3 linked regions of the Struthio camelus genome follow. Each later gene encodes a partner of the first gene's protein in a complex. Links are inferred from orthologs where the notes say so. Each region holds a gene or a part of one and is shown on either strand. Other genes may lie near its edges.

The links.
Region 2: CACNA1C (region 1) and CACNB3 share a complex: the UniProt entries of both Homo sapiens proteins name them as parts of the calcium channel complex. The link is inferred for Struthio camelus from reciprocal best matches to the Homo sapiens genes CACNA1C and CACNB3.
Region 3: CACNA1C (region 1) and CACNB2 share a complex: the UniProt entries of both Homo sapiens proteins name them as parts of the calcium channel complex. The link is inferred for Struthio camelus from reciprocal best matches to the Homo sapiens genes CACNA1C and CACNB2.

Annotation. Positions count from the first base shown.
Region 1 is NC_090942.1:69,941,614-69,949,417, forward strand, and holds the start of CACNA1C (voltage-dependent L-type calcium channel subunit alpha-1C), read left to right. Parts: upstream 1-4,768; 5' UTR 4,769-5,475; coding exon 5,476-5,524; intron 5,525-7,804. UniProt on the Homo sapiens protein: Pore-forming, alpha-1C subunit of the voltage-gated calcium channel that gives rise to L-type calcium currents. Mediates influx of calcium ions into the cytoplasm, and thereby triggers calcium release from the sarcoplasm.
Region 2 is NC_090969.1:1,026,757-1,033,958, reverse strand, and holds the start of CACNB3 (voltage-dependent L-type calcium channel subunit beta-3), read left to right. Parts: upstream 1-4,167; 5' UTR 4,168-4,249; coding exon 4,250-4,291; intron 4,292-4,443; coding exon 4,444-4,536; intron 4,537-5,397; exon of another isoform or gene 5,398-5,415; coding exon of another isoform or gene 5,416-5,421; intron 5,422-5,765; exon of another isoform or gene 5,766-5,853; coding exon of another isoform or gene 5,854-5,895; intron 5,896-6,886; coding exon 6,887-7,009; intron 7,010-7,132; coding exon 7,133-7,202. Other genes in the region: ADCY6 (adenylate cyclase type 6), read right to left, coding at 346-1,179. UniProt on the Homo sapiens protein: Regulatory subunit of the voltage-gated calcium channel that gives rise to L-type calcium currents. Increases CACNA1B peak calcium current and shifts the voltage dependencies of channel activation and inactivation.
Region 3 is NC_090943.1:23,439,028-23,445,983, forward strand, and holds the start of CACNB2 (voltage-dependent L-type calcium channel subunit beta-2), read right to left. Parts: upstream 3,057-6,956; 5' UTR 3,038-3,056; coding exon 2,939-3,037; intron 1-2,938. UniProt on the Homo sapiens protein: Beta subunit of voltage-dependent calcium channels which contributes to the function of the calcium channel by increasing peak calcium current. Plays a role in shifting voltage dependencies of activation and inactivation of the channel.

The sequences.
Region 1 (7,804 bases):
CTGCTGCTAAAATTTCAAAGGGAAATATGTGGCTAACTTTCCGAAGTTGACTTTGAAAAGCCATGGTTCTGATTTTATACATTTTCAAAATTTTGTGTGCATTTGGCACTGTTACGGATTTTAAGAAATGAAAGCACCTAGAAATCCTGGTCATCAGTCCTGCTTTTCCCTTCCATCCCAGGTCTCTTGCCTTCTCTGTATTACAGCTGACTGGTAGGTCTGAAAGGTCTGCGGTTTCCTGACCACACTTTCAATGGCTTTAGACAGGACTATCAATTACTTTCATTCCAATTAAAATTAAAGAGCTGAAACAAAATTGTCAAATAAAGAACATGTTTTAGGAATCTATATTCATTATAGATGTGAACAGTTTTTGTGCTTTTTTTTTTCTCAGCAACAACCAGGAAGGTGAAATGGAGAAGATGGTATTTACATTTTTAGGTGATACAAAGTTCAGAAAAATCACAATTAGCTTTGAGAACAATTCTAAACACAACAGTACTGATATATGAGAAAAGTTTGCTATCACCAATATTTGATTTAAGATAAATACATTTTAGTCATGCAATGCCAGAAAAAAACAGTATTTCCAATACACTGTATATGGCCCAACAGAGCAGTACTGCACAAATGACGGAACTTGTGTTAAGGGTATTAGGGTATGAATAAGGGTTATTCATGCATGATGATTATTTTAATGTACCAGGACCAATCAAGCTTTTGCATTCAGGTTTGAACACTATTTTAAAGGAAATAGACGCTAGACAGAAAATAATTATTTAAATGCTTTGAAAAAAGAAAGACCAAGTTCTTCATGCACCAATCGCAGTGTTTAGATCCCATTTACTTAAATCAGTGACAAAAAATCACCTAGTTTTCAGTGCAACAAGGTGCTGATTCTTATGGAAAGCCTTGTCTGTTATTTGGTGGAGGTGCAAAAACTGAAATCTGGAAAAAATCACTTTCAGGAAAGTAATGAAGAGCTCTGGCACTGTTTCTCTGAGCTGGCCCTGAAAGAAGTTGCATTTGTATTGTGAGCCTTAATACTGTTTCTGGGGATAAATACATTTCTCTTTCACTTCTGAATAATTTGTCGTCGTATTTTATAGTGAAAGACATAGCTGCCAAAACAGTGTGAATATAATCTATGGAAATTAGATAGTTTGATAATTTATGCAGTAGGCCCAATGAACAACCTAGCTCGTGTAAAAAGAAGTGAGAGTGCTTAAAAAGGCACTTCAAATAATTTTATAAATTATAAAAATAGTTCAATGCAGAGTTACTGTATGTTCTTGTTTGTTCTCGTCCTATTACGTTCTAGCCCCATCTTTAAAATCAGCATTGCGATATCTCTTCCTTTTTGAATGGAGGGAACACTCTGCTCCGCAACCGCTTTGGTGATTTCTGTTTTGAAGGAAGATGCTGGTTCTGATAACTGGATTTTGAAGAAGCTGTTGTGCCCAGTATGCTCTCTATATGGCTGGGTAACAGGGAAGGAGTAGTACGTTGTATGCAGAACAAAGACATTCCTGACACGCAGAATGCACAGTTGCATGTTTAAATTATGTACTCTACAAATCATCCTTGACATTTTGTAACTTTAAATAGCTGTTTCTCAGAATCTCTGTCTTGGTACTTTATATGGCTCCCATTACTATTGTTCTCAGAGCAGTTGCAGAACTACTTTTCTCCTCCTAGCATTCCTCTGAGGTGGAAAACTATTATCTCCACTTTACAGCTAGCTTAAGGCTGAACAAATGTTGGATCATTTGTCCGATCTATAGTCATCTGCTTAAAGAAAGTCTATGATTGAGGATATATTCAAGGCTGGTCTGAGACTTACCCTAGTGTCCTGATCGTGAGGCCATCCATTTTACCTTTAAAGCTGTTGGCTACCACATCAGAAAGGGACAACAAACTTTCTGATGGTTCTTGTATTGAAAGAATAATTCTTTCATAAATCTTTTAAGATCTTTTGCTCACCTGTAAACTCATCTTTGGGCTGCATGTGTAGTTATCTAGCTCCATTTGAAGAAAGCAAAATGTGTTCCTCTTCAGAAGGCCTAAAGGCTTTTCAAACCATCAGACAGTCATCAGTCATTCAAAAATAATAGAGAGTCTTCTAATTCCCTCAGGCTGTACGCTTTGCCTTTGGAGTCCTGGCCCAGAACTTACGTGATCAAACTGCTCAGGAGCCAAGGGCCGTTCAGAGAAGGGCTCTTGGCCGCTCTGAAGTCTCCAACTGCTCATCTGGAATCCCTAACAAAATCCCTTCTTCACTATCTCTAGGAAAAATAGAAAGAAAATGAATGTATTTTAGAGCAATTGAATTTTCTCATTTTCTAAGGAGGGCAACACCTTGGGTGCTCTACTGAGCGAGAGATCTGTTATTAAATGTGAATTTAAGCAATCACCAGTATTAAGAAAAATCTTACAAGTGCTTTTACTTCAAATGCAACTTTTTTTACTAAACCTATTCTCATGAACTACATTTTCTCAGTGCACTTTGACAATACAAATGTTTTAGGGGAAGGCATGATGCTCACTCTTATGTCACCTGACTGTCCTTCATTAGCAGATGTCTCCATCTGAATGTTGCAGTCAGTTTCTTTACACTTCTTTTTATAGAAAATTATTTGCATCAGAAATGCTGAATAAGGAAAGCTCAAGTTATAATACAATTTTATTGATGCTAAAGAAATTAATGCCAGCTAATATTCTTGTTTCTTGTTCTATTTTTCTTCTGTGTTTGATTTTTGGTAATTGGCCCAAATTGTGTCCCACAGTGGGAGCCTGGCAAAGAGAGAGGGATGAAGAATGGAGAAGAAGATTTGTAGGTGGCAGGGACAGCTTGCGTATGTGGCTGCATACGTATGTGAGCTGGCATAAAGCAAGGCTATGTGGATGCTGTTTAACTAATATAGTATACGAGCCCTTAGCTAGCTAAGAATGTGATCCAGTAAGGGCAAAAGAAATGTTTGCAGGTGCCCCAGTGGTGGTTGATTTCTGTGCAAGAGCAATCAGCATGCACTTAATCACTTCCTAGGAGATTATGTCTGTGAAAGGGTGAATCATACAACTCTTGGTTGACTCATGGCTTGAAAAAAATGGAATTACCACAATCCAAACTGGTAGGAATTTGTGTTCATGAGGAGAAAAATAAAATGCTTGTTTACACAACAAATTTAGGAAGAGGATACTTTACTGTTTAGTCCTTTTACAATGATGAAGGGAAGAGTGGGTTTTTCATTTTTACAAGAAAGAGACAACTGGAATTGAAAAGGAAAGCTAATATATTGCTATTCCATTTCTAGCTATGATCTTGCTTGATCTCATAAGTTAAATAGGGTAAGTGCATGTGACGTTATTAGAGGAAAAACTAGGCAATAGAGGACAGAGTATTTTAGTTGCTCGGAGGACCTCTTCCTCCTGACTCAGAAATAAAGCTGCATCTCTACATGCTGTCAATGGCAATATGTTGTTGGTGAACTACCTTTTGGATAGCAGCTAAAGCAGAAGTTATGATCATCAGTGGTTATTAGAAACCAAAACGACCTGTCTTAGGGCTAGTGCATTGGCTGCATCCAGATTTTGGTAAGTGCTTTACATCTAGTCCAGTTTCTCTTGTAGTTCCAAGTGGATGGTATATTTTCTTGCTTTTTTGCCTAAATCTGTTAGGTGTTGCTGTTTTCTATTATATTCTGAGCTTTACCTGAGAGACAGCTCAGGTAAAGTGGTGGGAAGAAAAGCCTCAAAGGGAGACAGATATTTGATAAATCCCGCTGAAATCCATTTGTAGAGAAGGCACGAAGTTCCTTCTAAAGTGATTCCTTCACAGAGTGTGTTACCAACTTTAAAATATTTGGATAGAAATACCCTGTCTTTCTAGGTTACATGAAAAACCATGAGAAAAGAAAGAACCACTATACTTTAGTTTCCATAAATAGTATTGCATACACGTGATGTTAAATGGATACCCTGTTACCATGAGAATTGACACCTATAGGTTTGCACAGAGGACACAATATTCTGCACATTTACCCACCTGTAACTCAGTGTTTCAGTTTCTCAGATTGTTACAGTTTCTACAGCGGTTCTGGAGGGGTATTTTTGAACTCTGCATCTCTTGTTTAACATGGCAGCTCTGAGAGTCCAGATACATTTAGCATGTACTGCATTCAGTTCACATTTCGTTTTAAAGAAGTCATTTTTGCTCTCTGTGGAGGCTTCAATTACAGTGGGCCAAACGACAGGGATAATTAAGGCAAGTGGTGGAATACCAGCAGAACGCTTTGGTGTTTCCACCAAGGATTTTGCAAATCCTAGCTTGATTAATCTGTTTAAACATCTGTGCATCCTCTTGTCTATGCAACTTATCCCTGGGTAGCTCTCTCTCTTCCGCTCTGTGTGTACCGTGCATGCATTTGTGCCGTGTGGACTCCTGCTCGCAATGGATCAAACACAATCACAGCTCATTCTGCCGTCTCGTTAAGCGCTCGCACATGATGCGGGCGGTAATATTTCAGCAAATTACATCGTCCTCCTTTAAATTCAGCTCACAATTGCATTCCGTAGTGGAACCGCAGGGCAGAGCCCACAACGTTGAGAAATCGCGTCGAAGAGGGGCTGGAGGCCGGCGGCGCCCATTGCCGCGGGCGACCCGGGAGGCGCGGCGCGGTGCGGTGCCGCCGCCCGGCCCGGCCCGGCCCGGCCCGGCCCCGCCGCCGCTCCCCTCGCCGGTCCCCCCACTCGCCCAGGCAGCCGGCTCCGGCTTGCCTCCTTGACGTCATGTCTGTAGAAAGGCTTCAGCAGGCGCAGTGAAGGCAGGGAGCGTGTTAAACTTTCAGATCAAGTCAGCCGGCTCCCAGCGCTGTGCGCGGGGGGCTGCGTGCTGCCGTCGCAGCTGGAACATCTGGAAGTGTTCAGGGTGTCTGTCTGTCTGCGAGAGGCAGAGAGAAGGGAGCGAGCGTGCTGAGGGAGGGGAGGGAGTAAGGGGCTGGGACTGTGCTCTCTCTTCCTCTGCAGAAACAGCTCCCTGCCAACACAACGCGCTCAGAATGGCTTTGAAGAGGAGGAGCAGCAGCGTTTGAACATCTTTTTTTTTTTTTTTTTTTTTTTCCTCCTTTTCTTACTCTTGTAGTTGGTGGATTTTAAAAAAGACATTTAACCCTCAGAGGTTTGTCCTGGATGCTTTTTCTTTCCTTTTTTTTTTCCCCCTCTCTCATTTCCCCCCTTCCTGTTCTTTTTTATGGTTTAACAGCCAGAGGTGCTGTGCTAAATTCTTGGAAGGGGCCCGGATGTACTGAGGATGCATTGCAATTTCACTAAAGGAGGCAGTAGTGGAAAGGATCAGTTTTTGGTGTTTGATGCAATAATGGGAATCAGGTAATAATAAAAGAGGGAATTCTGCAGCTCCATTCTTCCTTGAATTTTACCAAGCCGATTTGCGGAGGGATTAATCTGGACTCGTTTTAAATGGTCAATGAAAACAAGAGGATGTACATTCCAGAAGAAAACCATCAAGGTAAGCTTGAGATTTACCTCAAAGCCTCTAGCAACCATTCTCTCCCGTCCCCATTGTCTGTAGTCTCTCGGTGCAGTTCAGCTGCTCCCGCTGCTGCCACAGCCAGCGGCAGGCGCAGGGGCCGGGGGAGAGGACAGGCTTTGACACCAGTTTCCATTCGGAGCGTATAGATACCATCAGTAACGGGTGTACTGCAGGGAGAGAGCCCCTCAGCCCTTCGGGGAGCGTGTGCTTCGTATGAAACCCCAGGCAGAGAAAAGTTGCTTAAGTCGCCGTCACCTTCTTCTGAAGCAGACGGGCGAGAGGGGACGCCCGGGGCAGGGGCTGTGCAGTGTGGACGGAGGCTAAGTGAAGCCGCGGGGCAGCTCGCTTTTACGTGTCGGGGGCAGATTTAACTCGCAGTGCAGCCGGGATTAGGGGATCTTTACCAATTAATGTCGTCCCGATCCTCCTAGCCCCCATCTCAGTACGGCTTCCTAAGACACCGGGAGAGGAGCCCTACCCTTCTCTTACGCTATTTCTAATCTCTCGCACGAAAGGGGAGGGGAAGGGGAATTATCTACTTACACACACACAACATACACACGCACATACGGAGACAGAATGACAGACACCGGTGAGTGTCTGTATGAAAATTAAAGTTAGGCTTTACTTGGGGCAGTGATTTCTCGACTAGCTCCTTTCGGGATCGCCCGCATCATGGATACCCAGCCGTGCTGCTGCTCCTCAGCATTAGCAAATGTACCCAGCTATTCCCTGTAGTAAAACTTTGTTTGTCCAAACTCCAGAAGTGTGCCCTCGCCCCCCCCTTCCCCGCTCAACCCCGATCTGCTGTTCCTGAAGTTATTTTTATCCTGTTACCTGCATGTTGTCACCCCCTCCCCTCCCTTCCCGACCAGCCCTGAGCGCGCACAGCGGTATTGCAGAGCAGGCAGAGCCATTTCCTTCCCTCGGCGAGAGAGGAGCAGTGCTCCAGCGGCAGCGCTCTGCCGGGGGGGGGGGGTCTTTCTCAGCAGAACCCCCCCCCCCCGTTTGTGGCCAACTTGTTTCCCCTGCCGTCCCCCTAGGGCAGCCCCCCCGCCCCGTTTCGCGGTACGTGCTCGCACCTCCGCTGCCCGGGCTGACTTGTCCGGACGGCGATCGGCGGCGGCGATTTAACAGCTGGGTTTGGTGCGGGGGCGCCCGGGCGGCGGGGACCCCCAGCCCGGCCCGCTGAGCTGCCCAGGTGCCCTCTCCCGGGCCAGCCCCGGCAGGGGCGGCAGCCGGGGACGGGCGTTATCGCTGCAGCAGCTCTTCATAGCGGAGGGGTTTCAGCGGTCGGCCCACCCCCCACCCCTTCCAGTTAAATACGATTAAATAGAAAGAGCAGCACCCTCCAGGCGCCCTGTGGCGGTGAGGTGGGAGAGCAGAGGAAGCGGCCCCCGGGGCGGTGCGGAGCGGAGCGGAGCGCTGCGCGGGCTGCGAGCAGGGCCGAGCCCGCGGCACATGCCAGCGGGCGAGCTGCTGCTCCGCGGCCAGCGCCACGAAGGGGGACGAGGAGCTCAGCCTCCATAGCGATATGCCAACGCTATGGCAACCTACAGCCAGCTCCCTGCTTATCAGCTGCAGTGATTATATAATTGGAGGAGCAGTTTTGCATCTGTCTCTTGATGCGGATTGTCAGGACTCCCAGGTGAAAGAGCAACTCGTAAAGCAAACAGAGAATGAGCCAGATGGAAGAAAGTTGTGTTCCCTGGTAGTGCTCGGGCTGTCATGTATTTACAATCTATTTTTATTTTGTGTAAACAGAGAGCGCTTGAAAGGTTAAATTGATCAGTAGCCAAGAAAAGCTGGTGGCAAGGAGGTGAGAGCAAACCAATCACGATGGGGAAGGGGGTAATTAAAGCGGGTGCGGGGGCTCAGCTGAAAGAGGCTAAAAAGACGAGGAGAAGGCAAGGCTAGGGCTGTGCTGCGGGTCTGCCCTTCACATGTGTGGAGGGAGGATCGGTTCAGGATAATCGGTGCCTCACTTCTGCATCCTTCTCAGCTGCTGGTAGCAGGGTGGATGTTCCAGGTACTACCAACGCAAGAAAAAATTTTATGTCTCTTTCTTGAAATGTGAGTGGCATGACTAGGCCTCTGCCTGTAGTTGCTTTCTGCACATGTCAGCCCTCAGTTAACCACTTAGTAGACTGCCTGAATAGCCTCATACTGAGGAGTCTCTATGGCAAATGAGCCAAAATAATGGTAGCTTATTTAAAAGAAAAAACAAAAGTGTACTGAAGTATACTGGAAAGCGTT
Region 2 (7,202 bases), on another chromosome or scaffold:
CCGCTGCCCTGCCCGGGGGTTTCCGCCAGCCCCACAACGGGGGCTTTGTGGGCGCCCCCGCGCCGGCCCACAATGCAGGGCTTGTGCGCAGCCCCTGGCCCAGACAAGGGGCCCCTTTACCCCCCCCCTTCCCCAGGCTGGGGGTTGGGGGAGCCGCAGCGCCCACGGGACCCCCCCTCACGCCGGCTCCAAGGCAGGAACCCTTCCGGCCTCCAGAAGTTTCTAGAGGCAAAAATTTTGGCCGCAACGAGGATTCTGCAAATCTCTGCAGCTGCGGGGAGCTGCCGGCGCGGGAGCGGCGGGGCGGGCGGCCGCCGCGGCGGGACCCCCGCGCCCCACCTCTACCTGCTTCCAGAGGAAGGGGTCGGCGGCGTTGCGGTGCCAGGAGATGCCCAGGTGCAGGGCGGAGAGCAGGGCGCCGGCCAGCACGGCGGCCCGCATGCGCACGGGCAGCAGCGTGTAGGTGATGTAGATGAAGAAGACGCTCCACCAGACGCCCTCGGAGGCGCTGCGGGGGGCCGCGGCCAGGGTGCCCAGCGCCTGCACCCCGGCCAGCAGCCCCAGCACCACGTAGCTCACCACCCACATGTAGTCCTGGGGGAAGGCGCTGCGGCTGCACAGCACCATGAGCAGCAGGAAGAGGGCCGTGGCGCCGGCCAGCGCGGCGGCCGCGGGCACCGGCGGCGAGCCGGGCAGGCACTGGAAGAGCAGCATCACCCCGCACACCAGCACCAGGACGCCCATGAGCACCGTGAGGCTGCTCTGGTTCATCTGGAAGAAGTAGCGCTGGTAGAGCCGCTCCAGCTTGGCCGACTGGAAGCGCTTGGAGCGGAAGACCTGCAGGACGCGCCGCCAGCACTCGCCGGCCGACAGCCGCTGCCCGGGCTCCTTCGGCCCCTTGGCCTCGCCGTCCTCGAAGCCCACGTCCACCGACTTGAGCCCCAGCTCGCCGGCCGCCCCTTTCTTGCCGTAGTGGTCCTCCTGCCAGGTGCAGCGCAGCGCCGGGGCGGTCCGGGCCGGCCCCCCGGGCCGCTCCATCTCAGGGTCCTGCAGGCAGCTCATGTAGCGGGGTCCGCAGAGGGCGGCGCGCGGGCGCTGGCCCTTCTTGCCGTTGCGCTCGCCCCATGCCGTCTTCCGCTCGTCCACCTTGGGCACCAGGATGCCGCTGAACCACGACATGCTGCGGGCAGGCGAGGGGAAGGGGGGGGGGGACCTGAGCTGGGGGGCTCCGCTGGCTGCAAAACGGCGCCGGGGGCTGCACGCCGGCGGTGCCGCAGGAGGGTGGCAGCCCCCCGGGGCAGGCGTGCGGACCCCGAAGCCAGCGCGGCACGGGGCAGCGGGCGCCCAGCCCCGCGGACACCTGCGCCGCGGCTCTGCCCGCCGCCCCACGGCCCGAGCCCACGGGTGACACCTCGCCGCCGCGGCCTCGGCCGGCCGGGCGCCGCGCCGCCCCACTGCAACAGCCTCCGGCTTCCCGGCTCTGTTTGCCTTGAACGGCGGCCAAGGGGCTCCGCCGAGCTGCCGCGGCCCCGGGGCCACCGGGGCACCCGCGGCCCGGCCGGGACGTGGCAACCGGGCGGCGAGCGAAGGCGACCCGGAGCGGCGGAGCCCCGCCGGGCCCTGCCCGTGCACCCACCGCCGCCGCCCGCTCCGCTCCGCTCCGCCGCCGCGGGGCCTGGGAAAGCGCCGGCCCCGGGCAGCCGCCGCCGCCGCCCCGCTCACCTCCGGCTCCGGCTCCGGCTCCGGCCCCGCCGCCCGCTGCTACACGGCGGCCGCGCCGCGCCCCCGCCGCTCCATCCCGCGCGCCCCGGCCGGGCCCCCGGTCCCGGCCCGCCCCGGCCCGGTAACCGCCCTCCCGCCCGGATCCGCTCCCGGCCGGCGGCCTTAAAGGCGCAGGCGGCGGCGGCCCGGTGCGGCCCGGTGCGGGCGGGGGAGGCGGGGGCGGCGCGCGCGCGCGCGCGCGCGGGGGCGGCGGGCGAGCGGGCGGGCGCGCGCGGGGCCGGGCGGGCGAGTAAGGGCGCACCGGCAGCACCGGGCACTGCGCACCGGCGCGCGCGCGCGCGCGCGCGCCCCCCCCCCCCGCGGCCGGCACACGCGCAGCCCTTGCACACCCGCGCGCGCGCCCCTTGCACGCGCTCCCCCTCCGTGTGCGCGCGCGCGCGCACCCCGCCTTTGCGCGTGCACGCGCGCAAGCAGCCTGGCGCTCAGCGCAGCGCGCTGGCCCAGGCGCGTGCACGGGCGCACAGGGTGGCCGGTGTTGGGGGGGGGGGAGAGGGGGCTGCTGGCACGCGCAGCCCCCCCCCCCCGCACGCCCATACACCCGCTTTTGCACCTGCCCGAACACGCGCGTGTGCGCGCACACGCGCGTGCAACCCCCCCCACGCGTGCACACCTGCCCACTCCTGCGGCGCGCACCCCCCTCCTTGCACACTCACCCCCCCCCCCAGCAGCACACACATGGGTGCAACACGCAGGGTCTCCCCAGCCGAGGCTCCCACCCAGGCCCCAGCCTTGCACCCCACGGCCCGGGGCACCCCACGGTCTGGGGACACCCCACGGCTCAGGGGCACCCCCCCCCAGCCCAGGGGCACCCCCCGGCCCGGGCGCCAGCCCGCCGGGCCCCCGCGCGGAGGGAGCCGCAGCGCCCGGCCCTGCGCGGCACCGGCTGGCAGCAGGAATGCAGGCCACGTCCTCCGGGGAGACGAGATTAATGATTAATTACCAGCGACTGCCGCCGTGTCCCCAGTGCGGGAAGTCCCCGCCGGGCCCAGGGGGGGCTGCAGGGTGCAGCCAGGGCCGGGCACCCGCGGGTGCCGGGAGCCCCCCGGGCGGCCGGCGCTTCCCCCTGCCCGAACGCCCAGTTGGCCCCGGGGCAGGACGAGGGCCGGGGCGGCGCGTGGCTCCGGGTGCCGGCAGGGCGTGGGACGCGCCCGGCGGGGACCTGGAGGCCGCCGCGTCGCCCGTCCCTGCCGGGCTCCCGCGCACGGCCCCGAAGGCGCCAGCCCCGGCCCCGCTCCCCGCCTTATCAGCCGAGTCCAGAGCTCCCTGGATTAATTATTACAGGCGCGTTTCCCTCCTGGGTCCGGCCCCGGGCCGCGAGGCCCCGGCACACATTAACCAGGAGGCGGCACCGCGCGGCGGCCGCGGCGCCTGCTGCGGAGAGGGAAACTGAGGCACGGGGCGGCCGGGCAAGAGGGCGCTGCTGGGCCCTGCTGGCCCTCGTGCCCTGTCCCGGGCTGGATCCCGGCCCTGCTGGGGATCCCCATGCTGGATCTTGGCCCTGCTGAGGCTTCCCAGGCTGGATCCTGGCCCTGGTGGGGCTTCTTGGGATGGATCCCGGCTCTGTTGGGGATCCCCATGGTGGATCCCAGCCCTGCTGGGGCTCCCGGGGCCGGATCCTGCCCACGTCACCCCTCGCAGCAGCAGGCCCCAGCGCTGCTCCCTCCATCGATCCAGCCCTGCAGCAAACCGCGTTGCTGCAGCAACGGCAGCGCCGGGGCCGGGCCGGATCCGGCCGCCTCCTCCGTGGGCACCCCGGGGTCACGGAGCGTGGGGTGCATGTGCGCGCACACGTGTGTGTGTGTGTGTGTGTGTGTGCGTGTGCGTGCGCTGCACGAGGTGCCCGTGGGTGGGTGTGAGCGTGCGTGCCCACGGGCACGCGTGTGCGCACGCAAAGCCTTGACTGCAGGCATGCATCCGTGTGTGTGTACACACGTGTGCGCATGTACACGCGTGTGCAAGCCAATCCCAGGGCAGGGGGCAGCGGGACTGTGGCGGGGGGGGCACCAAGGCCCCCCCCGGGCTCCCCCCCACGGCCCCACCTGCCCCACGCACGGATCTGGGGGGTGCAGATACCCCACGGCGGGTGGGGGGGTAGAAGAGCCCGGCATCCCCGGGCACCCACAACCCCGGTCCCCCCCCACATCGCGGACACGCGTGGGCGCCCGAGCAGACGGTACCGCTAGGACGGGCCCGGCAGCCGCGGGGGCGGCGGGGCGGGTGTCCCCGGTCCCCTCCGGAGGCTGCCCAGCCGCGGGGGGCGCAGGCCGGCCGCCACGGGGATGGGCGCGGGGGCGGGCAGGGCGGGGGCGGGGACGGCCGGGAAGCCCCGGCGGCCCCGTGCGCGGCGGAGCGCGGCGGCGGCGGCGGCAGCGGTGGCGGCGGCGCGGCCCTTCCCGGCGGAGCGCCGCGGTCCGGGGCTGGGCGGCCCCCGCCGGGATCCCGGACGCTCCGGTCGCTGCCGCCGGGCATGTCCGGAGCGGCGGAGCCCGCAGCACCCGGCTCCTTCCAGGTGAGCGGCGCCGACCGCCCCCCCCCCCCGCCCCCGAGCCCCGCGGCGGCCCGGTGCCCGGTCCCGCCGGATGCCCGGTGCCCGGTGCCGTCCGGTGCCGCCGGGGCTCACGGCTCCCTTCTCCCCCCCCCCCCCGACCCCGCTCCCCGCAGAGCCCCCGCAAGCTCCCGAAGCGCAAGAGCCGCTTCAAGCGCTCCGATGGCAGCACCTCGTCCGACACCACCTCCAGCATCCTCCGGCGGCAGGTGAGGCCAGCCCGGGCCCCCCCGGTCCGGTCCGCTCCGGTCCCCCCCCACCCCCCCCCGCTCCGGCCGGGGCACTGGGGCTGGGCGCACGCACCGGGCGCCGGTGGCATCGCCAAAGCCGCTCCCCGCGGCTAAAAATAGCGAGTGCTGCGTCAGGGCCGGGCCCGGGCCGCCGGGTACCGGCACTGCGGCGGCGGGGCCCGGCGGGGGGGGGGCGCCGGCGCCCCGGGACCCGCGGGGGGGGGGGTTGGAGGTCCGGCCGCTCCGCAGCGCCGCTGCCCGGCGGCCGTGGGGAAACTGAGGCAGGGCAGCTGAGGAGGGGGCCGGGTTGGGGGGGGGCTGGGTCTCCCTTCCCGCCTCCTCCCCACGGGAGGGGGGGGGCTCCCGCCGCCCCCGCCCGCCTGCTCCGTCTCACACCGAGCCGAGCGGGCCCCCCCCCCTCCCCGGGTAAGGGGGGGGTGGTACCGGGGCCAGCCCGCAGCCCTGGGGGGGGGGAGGAGTCGGGGGCCCGGCCACCCCCATGCACCCCTTGCAGGACCCCCTTGCAACCCCCCCGACGCCCCCTTGCCCCCCCTCTCCCCTCCGAGCACCCCTGTGCCCGGCCCCCCCCCGGCCCCCGCCCCGGCTGCGCGGCCCCTTCAGCACCTCGGAGAGGGCCCGGCGCGGCCCCCCCCCCCCCCCCCCCCCGGGCCCGGCCGCCGCGCGGTACCGGGGCGGGCCGGCCCGCTCCCCCGGGGCCCGCCGCTGCCCCCCTCCTCGGGGGCGGGATGGGGGGGGCGCGGCGGGGGGGCGGGAGCGGCTCCGGCCCCGCCGCAGGGCTCGCCCTGCAGACGGGGCTGCTGCCGCCTCGGGGCAGCACCGGGGCCGCCGCACCGGAGCATGGAGGTACCCACCGACCCCCCCCCCCACACACTCCCACCCCCAACCACCCCCCGGGACCCTCGGCGAGGCAGCCCCCCCATCCCACCCCTCCGCCGCCTTCAATTGCCCCGGGGGCCCGGTCCAGGCGCCCCCCCCTCCTCCTCCCGCCGGGGCCGCCCGGGACCCCCGGTGCGAGAAAGAGCCCCGGTGGCGGCGGCGGCGGGGGGGGGGGACAGCGGAGAGGGGCCGGGGCCCCCCGGCAGCCGCGGGAAGGGGGGCGGCTCCGTGCGCCCCGGGGGGGCGGCGGGAGGCGGGGGCGGGGAGGGGCGGGGAGGGGCGGCGGCGGAGCGGGCAGGGCCAGCCGGAGCCCGAGCCGCAGCCGGAACCGGAGCCGGAGCCGGTGCCGGGGCCCGGGCGGGGGGGGGCGCGGGCGGCTCGGCTCGGCTCGCCCCGTCTATGTCGTTTTCTGACTCCAGCGCTACCTTCCTGCTCAACGAGGTACCGGTGCCGGTACCGGGCGCGGCGGCGGTTCCCGGGGGGGCCGTTGTGCCCGGAGGGGGGGCGGGGGGGACTCGGTGGGGGCGGCTGTGCGCGGCGGCGGTTGTGCAACGGGGGGCGGCGACTGCGCACCGGGGGCTGCGCGCGGCGGCGGGACCGAGCCCGGGGCGGGGGCTCCGGTGCCCCCCCCCCGCCGCTGGCCCTTTGTTCCCGGGGCGGCGCCGCCGATCTCGCCCCCCCCCCGCCCACCCGGCCCGGGACCGCGCGGTGGGCAGCGGGGCCAGCCGCGGGGGGGGGGCTACATTGAGGATGCCGGCTTGGGGGTGGGTATTTTAGGGAGGCCATGTTGGGGGGGGCACGCTGGGAGGGCTGCGATAAGGTGGGGGGGAGCCCAGGGCCCCCCCGAGACGCGAGCGAAGCTGAGAGATGTGCGGGGGGGGGGGCTCTTCTCCCTGCAGAGGAGCCCCGTGCCGTGGGGGGGGGGTCCCGGTGCCCGCCGTGCCCACGGCAGCCCAGAGCATCGCCGGGGAGGGGGGACGTGGGGGGGGGGCTCGCAGATACATCCAGGCACCTATAAATATTTCACTGCAGCTTCTGCGCTTGTTCCGGGCGCAGCAGGCGCCGGCTCATTTCCCGCTGGGGGGGGGAAGCTGGGGGGCTGTGGCGCGCCCCGGCCCTCCGGGCCCCCCCCCGGCACAGCGGGGGCGGCTGCTGCTTCCCGGAGCCTGGCGTTTCCTGGGCATCCGGCGAGCCCTGGGTGCAGCCGTGCCCGCGGCCCCCCCCGTTAGGGAGCCGGGGCTCTGCCAGGCAGCAGCGGTGCCCGGAGGGGCCGGGGGGCACCGGGTTGGGGTCAGGCCCGGGCGTTGCGCGGCCGCCCCCGTCCCCGCTGCAGGGACGCAGGGCGCAGGGCACGGCCGCAGCGGTCTCTGGGCGCTGGCGGGGGGGGGAGGCTCCCGCGGGGCCCCCCCGACACTCAGCCCCCGTCCCCCAGGGCTCAGCGGATTCCTACACCAGCCGCCCGTCCCTGGACTCCGACGTGTCCCTCGAGGAGGACCGCGAGAGCGCCCGGCGCGAGGTGGAGAGCCAGGCCCAGCAGCAGCTCGAGAGGGCCAAGGTAGCGGGGCGGGAGGGAGGCACGCGGGAGCCCGTCCGCCCGGCCTCGTGCACGGCCTCCCCGGGGCCGGGGGTCCAGCCGCCGGGGGCCCGGCAGGTCGGCGCTGACCCCCGCGTCCCCCAGCACAAGCCGGTAGCCTTCGCCGTGCGCACCAATGTCAGCTACTGCGGGGCGCTGGACGAGGAGTGCCCGG
Region 3 (6,956 bases), on another chromosome or scaffold:
AAGTATTAATATGCTATGTTACAATATATGAAGAAAAAATGAGCATAGCATCTGAGTTATTTAAAATAATTAAATTGAGTATTCTGATTAAAATTTGTAGATTTGAGAAGTTCCTGAAATAAAGAGCTAAAAAGGGAAATGGAGTTGATTCAGAAAAACAGCTACTGATCTTAAATCACTCCGAAGCATTTCAATAGCTTGCACGCTTCATGAGTTCTGAAAATCAAATGCTGAGTTTATTACAAAAGAGTCACACCTACAACGACTACTTTGCATTGACTTACACATCAACACTGTGAATGACTCCACAGTGTAACAAGTAACATGCGCATACATCTGGATAAGACTGGACATCTCAAAGTTTACCACAACCCTGCCTGGACTAGGATCAAAATGAGTACTTATGCTTTTTACAGTAGCATGGAGGTAAGAGCCTCAGTATATTAGGTAAGACAGAAACACGCATAGATACCTTGCCTCTGTGTCAAGGAACTCCTCGGGGAGAGGACAGTATAATTGTCAGGATCAACGCCTACAGGGATTTTATTCCCTTTGCACGTCTTGTTAGCAAAACAGGTTACAAAAATAAGGACTAGAGTTTACACAGAGGCTATCTAAGAACTGTTCACATAATTAACACTGTGGAAGTAATTACTCTTAAAGATTGTTAAATATATTCACTCCTCTGCCAAGCCTGGACAAGTTTGGCCAAAATCTATGGAAGGGTACGAGCCAATATATTGACCATGGTGCACAGCCAGATTAAAAGAAACTCTCTGCTTTGCAAAAGTAAAATTCTTGGAGAAGAGAAATCTTCAAGCTTGTTACAAGTATACGAAGGCTCTTCAGTTATATTTCACTAAATCATAATTCCCAGAAGTAGCACTTCAGAGAGAGTACTTTTAGGAGTGATATCACTCCGTAAACTCGCATGTTTTTGTTTTTCCTTTTTTTTTCTGATGCGCTACTTGGCATGAAATGTTTCTAGGATCAATACTCAAGCACCTTAGTGAAAAAGATAATGGTGGGCCTAACTGAAGTACCTGTAGGCTATCTACTTGATGATTCACATATTCACATTAAGCTTCTCTTTCTCACTGTGAGTACACTCTAAAGCAGCAAGATTTTACAATATTGATTTTTTAGAAATCACGTTAATGGAGCAAAAACTCAGATCAGAATAATTGTCTTTCAATGCACTACATACAAAGGAATTAACTGAATATTATTATTCAGATAAAGGGATCTTTTGTTTCCATAATCTTACTTCTTCCACATCCAAGGTTTATGTATGACTGGAACATATACATACGCAGAAGATGAGATTCTTGTTTTGCCTAACTTGACTTTGGTTTAGAAAACTGAAAATTATTCCCTGAACCGAAAAGCTGCATTATCACTGTCTTGAGAAGTGGTCCTTTTTTGGTGTAGGCATTCAGAAACCAATTAAATAGAACAGAATATAAGTACCTTACCTGAAACATAAAAAGTGCAAGAATTAGCAACTATCCTTCCCCTCTAGAGAGAGAGTCTTTATCTAGTTAAAAGGAGGGGTGAGATTCAACTTTATGATCGCTATTTGACATTTCGCCACAGCAGAGAGGCACCATATGATTTCACAGTTGCCCATTCTGTTCTTAGGGCTGAAAAGAGACAAGAAAGGAGGTATTTGCAGGTCAGAAATTAGTTCCACCGCCGCTGTCTCTGGAGAAGTTGGCAAAGCAAATGGCCCTACTGAAAGGTCTGCTCCACACTTAGAAACTGCAGACAAATTCACATCCAAAGAGATACTTTTTCTTTTTAACTTAACCTAGTCTCCATTTCAGTGCCTGAATTTTGTTCCGCTCTTCGCAATCCTCAGTAAGTAAAGATCAATTAGCGAGTCTTTTGACAGACTGACACCGTTTTCCTGTGGCAATCAAGCACTTCTGTGATGAAACCAGACCACTTTCTCCAAAGAAAATAGAGGATTAGAGATAGCTTTGGCAGCAGCAATAAAACTGCCACCCCGAAAGGAAAAAAAATCCAAATCTCTGTCCTAACAAGAACAAGTATGTTTGTAATTTAAAACGCACACAATCATATTTTACCACCCTTTTACCGGGTTTAAAAATAGCTCCCTAAGTCTGTGTAGCCAACTATTGCAAACTCGGAGATATTATGCAACATTCATATATTAAACAGGATCCATCTTTCAAAATATAAAGTCTTCACCAAGCCTGCTACCACCTACTCCCTGTCACCCTCCGTACGTCCAGCCCGCATGCAGCGCACACGGCCCGAGCTGGTACAATTTCAGAGGACTCTCACAGCACCCTTTGCCCGGTGCTGCCGCAGCTGGGCTCCGCAGGGCACCGGGCACCGGCACCCTCCGCAAAGCGCGGTGCCGCGACCGGCGCGCACGGCCTGCCCCTCTCCGCCAGGCTCCTGCCCGTGCAACAGGTGAGCAGGGCGCAGCAGAGCGCGGGGAGCATCACGGCCGGACACAGCAGGTTACCGGGGGAGGGAAAAATAACCGCAGCCCGCAACAAATGCACGGAGGAGCGAGCGCCTCAACAGCAACGCTTTCTTATCTAGGTACGCCCTGGGTAACTGAAAGGCTACTCGCTCTGCAAAGCCCCTGTGGCACAGAGCACCCCACTGTGTGCGGTAATTAAACGGTCGGGCTCTCCAGAAGAGCTGTCAAACTTTTCTGACGGCGGGGAGCTGAAGTGGAAGGACAGACAGCTCTGGCAGCCCGGTCGCTCCCTTCCCCATTTGCTCCGGCGGCAGCTCAGGCACCCCCGGGCCGCTGCACCCCCGCCAAGCCCGCCCGGCCCGGCCGAGCGCCGCCGCCGGCCCCCGCCCCCGCCCCTGCCCCGGCCCCGCTGCCCGCCGCCCGCCGCCCGCCGCCGCCCGGGGCCCGGCCCGGCCGCGGGGTCCGCCGCCGCCGCGGTACCTGCGCCGCCGCCGCTGCGGGCAGGGGGTTGTCCAGCAGCTCCATCTGCACCTCCTGCGCCGCGGCGGGAGGCGATTTGGACATGTCGCTCTGGACCATCGGAGACGAGCGCGGGGCAGCTCTGGCGCCGGGCCCTGGGCGGGCAGCGCCGGGCGGGCCGGGCCGGGCCGGGGCGGCGGCGCCCCTCAGCGCCCGGCCATGCGGGCGGCGGGGACGGAGCGCGGGCGGCGGCGGCGGCGGCGGCGGCGGGGACGGAGCGCGGGCGGCGGCGGCGGCGGCGGCGGCGGCGGCGGCGGCGGCGGCGGCGGCGCGGCTCGGCTCGGCTCGGCCCTGCCTGCTGCCGGCGGGGAGCGCGCAGCGCCGGGGGACGGGGCGCCGCCGCCGCCGCCGGGCGCAGGGGGAGGGCAGGGGGCGGCGCGTGGGGAAGAGGGAAAGTGACAGCGAGCATCGCCCCCCCCCCCGCCCCGAGGCACCGGGCGGCGGGCGCGGGGCGGCGCCTCCCTCCCTCCCTCGCCGGCCGGGCGGGGGCTGCGCGGCCGCTGCGCCGCGGGCAGGGCGAGGGCTGGGCGCAGGCCGCGGGCGCGGAGCTGCGCCGGGGCCTGGCGGCGGCGGCCCCGCGGAGGGCTCGGTGGAGGGGGCGGTGCGCGAAGGGCAGGGGAGGGTCGGGGGGTCTGAGCGGTGCCGGGGCCCCGGCCGGGAAGGGGGGCTGGGGCGGAGGGAGCGAGCCCGCTCCCCGCCTGCCGTCAGAGAAGTTGCTATTTACAGCTAGCATTGCCCTCGAGCGAGGCAGCGAGGCAGCGGCAGGGGCGGAGGGGCGCGCGGCTGCCGCTGCCCGCCGGCTCGGCCCGGGCGCGGGGCCCCGCCGGAGCGGCGCCGCCCCGGCCGGCTGCGGCGGGGAGAGCCGAGGGGACGTGCCGCTGCCCCGGCCGCCCCGCACAGGTGGGCGCTCCCGGTCCCTAGCCAGGACGTCGCGTGTCTCAGCTCGTGTCGAAGCCGAAGGCAGGCGCGGGATACGTTTGCTGTTAGGGAACAAATCGGCGCTTTTCAGACGGGAAGCTCTGTCCAATTGATACGGTTTCTTCCGGTACTTCTTGGAGAGTCCCGTAGGCACATGAGGCAGGGCTGAGTAATTCCTAGCTAGCAGGTGAGATAAAGCCTACTATCTATATTTATAAAACCTGCAGCAGCACAATTTTAATCCGGTTATCATGTACCCCACAGGAGACTTTTGAAAGGTCTGTTCAAATCCTGACCCAGGAAAAACAGCCCCCACCCCTGAGAAGATCTACCGTTCATTTCTCAGAAGCAACGCTCACCTGGCATGATACAGCCTACAGCCTCTGACCGCATAAGCACTCGATGGACCAAGATTTGTAGTCAGACTAGATTTTATAGAGATAGACTTGTTACCTCTTGTTGTCCTCTTCAGATTGGACCTAGCGATGCTGTAGACAACAAGGGAGAGAAACTTGTGTTTTCCAGATCACTTTGTGATTGTTTGTGAGATCTTTTATCACTTCATGTTACGAAGAACGACAAATCGCTGCATAAACTCTGGGCAGCCAGATATGTCTGCATACTTCCAGTCACAACAAAAACTAACAGGAGCACAATAGTTGCATATAGAAAAAGGAGACAACGTAGAGACAACAAACCAAAAACAGAAAAGCCAGTTCAGCTTCAAGAAATGCTTTCAACTTTTCTCCTGATTGCGTGCTTGATTTACCTCCAGTTTTTCATAATGGCTGCTGAATGTTCTCACTTAATTAGCTTAGCCCTATGGAATTACCACATGGTCCATATGAATGGTGAACATGTCCTGCAGAAACTTTCTGCTTTTTGGAAGGAATTGGCTTTCCCTGCAAGCAGATGTGCTCTGAGGTTTGAAGAAGCTTGAGAACTTTCACTTGTCCAAAAAACTCAACTTTTTTTTATTTTGAAAAGTTGTCATGTTATTCTTCAAAAATCATTTCTAGAATTTTACCCAAGTTGTTGTCTACGGCACAAGAGAACCTTAATTTAAGCAAAAAGAATGTTATTTTACATGCTTCCATTTCCTTAAAATAGTTCAGTAGAGATGCTAAAGAACCTTCAAACTGGATACTATATCTTGGAATGCTTCCAAATGTTCTCTTAATGATTGTAATTAAAAACGCATTTTCTCCTTACATGGTTGAGGGGAAGAATACATCCTGTGCCCTCTAATGCAGGCCTTGAAGTAGTTATTTATATCTTTGTCACTTCCAGATTAGATCGTTTTAATGGAGTTACTGTTTGTGACCATCATAATAATTAAGGAAGTTTAATGCGTAAGTGAGGTTTCACAACAGACCTTAACACAACATTCCTGTTTCTTTTAAGATTGCTAAGGGGGTAGGGGGTGAGGAGCATTCAAAGAGGTTAGCTTTGACTTCCAACACCTTAATATCTGTGGAACTATTTGTTCTTTTATTCTAAGACATTCTCCAGGGAAGATTCCCTGATCTTGGCATATTGTCTTCCACCATGATTCAGTATAGTCTTGATTTGGCAGGTTTTAAGGCATCCTTCAAAGGCTGTCTATGCTATCTCACACATAGGAGAGAATTAGAAAAGACTGGTAGCTATTTATTCATGTAACAGTGGTCCTTCATACTGCCTTCTGATTTTTTCGTTGTGTAGGGAATATATAACTAACATTAGATTTTTTTCTTTTTAAGTATTCTATTCTTCCTTAAGAGTAGTAGAGATCATTTTGGAGCATTACAGGCTCTGAAACCATGAATTGTGCATGTGTGTTGAAAGGATATTTCTACTCTCTCATAAATTAAGAGCTTGAATATATCAGATGAAATTCATTTTTCCTTCGCTAAGTCCTATATCCATTCTGATTACTTTTTCTTCTTTTCTTTCCTCTATAAAAAAAAGAAAGGTAGTGATTTTGCTTGTTTATATACCCACATACAGGGGCTTTAGAAAGCAGGGAACCAGGAAAGAAGCTTTTAAGGCACAAATGAACAAGAGGAAGCTCACTGCCTATAGAAATCCCTAGTTACATATAGAGAACTGTGGTTTATAGTTTTCCCCTAAAAAACAAAAATCCTCAAACACTCAAATCACCTACAGATTTCTAAGTTTATTTTATTTTCATTCTTGATCAAAAATATGCTACCTGGCTTTTCTTTAGCAACAATTATTATTCATTGCTTTGATATAATGAGTGGCTAGGACATTTATCTAGGCAAATAATTTTAAGTATCTTACTCTGTTCTACTCCTTGGGTTTAGCAGTTGGGCAGAGTTCTAAAACCTTGAACTGTGCAGTGCGAAATCCTTCAGCTGAACACGTATACATGCAGGCATCCCCCCGCATGCTGTTTTTGGCCACATCTACTCCAGGAGAAAGGTCAGTGTGTAAAAACAATATGCACAGATTCCAAATTACTGGTTCTTTCTCAAGGGGAAAACAACCTGCTCTGCCTAACCACTTCTCAGCAGAAAACCACTGTGCTGCATTTTTTACACTTTTATCTGCAACGGAGAAGTGCTGTGCATGCTTATTTGGACTTTTCCAAACATGTAAATGTTAGAGGACTGACATAAAGAAAGATAAGCTCTTTTTTCCAAACAAAAAATAAAAACAAACAAAAACTAAAAAACCCTTAGGCTGACAGAGAAGATAGGCTGTTTGGGTGCCAAAATTGCTTTTTTGTTGTTTGAGAGATTAGATATTCTTCTAGAGCGAGGAGCACTGTATTGCATTGCATGCTTAATTGCCTTACCCCAAATACAGGAATGTCTATGTCCAGCACGGTGTTCTAGCGCACACACGCAGAGTCAGTGCAGGATTGATTTAGTCTATGACCATGACCTGAGCATGCAAAAATAGGCCTAGGATATTGGACTGATATTTGTGAAAGTAAAGCTAAAAATTAAACACTTGCATTAATATAAGCATGTGAGCTTACAATGATTGCTGCAAAACTGCTAAAATACTCGTGATTGAGCATATGCTTAAAGCCCTGATAGAAGAAATTCAT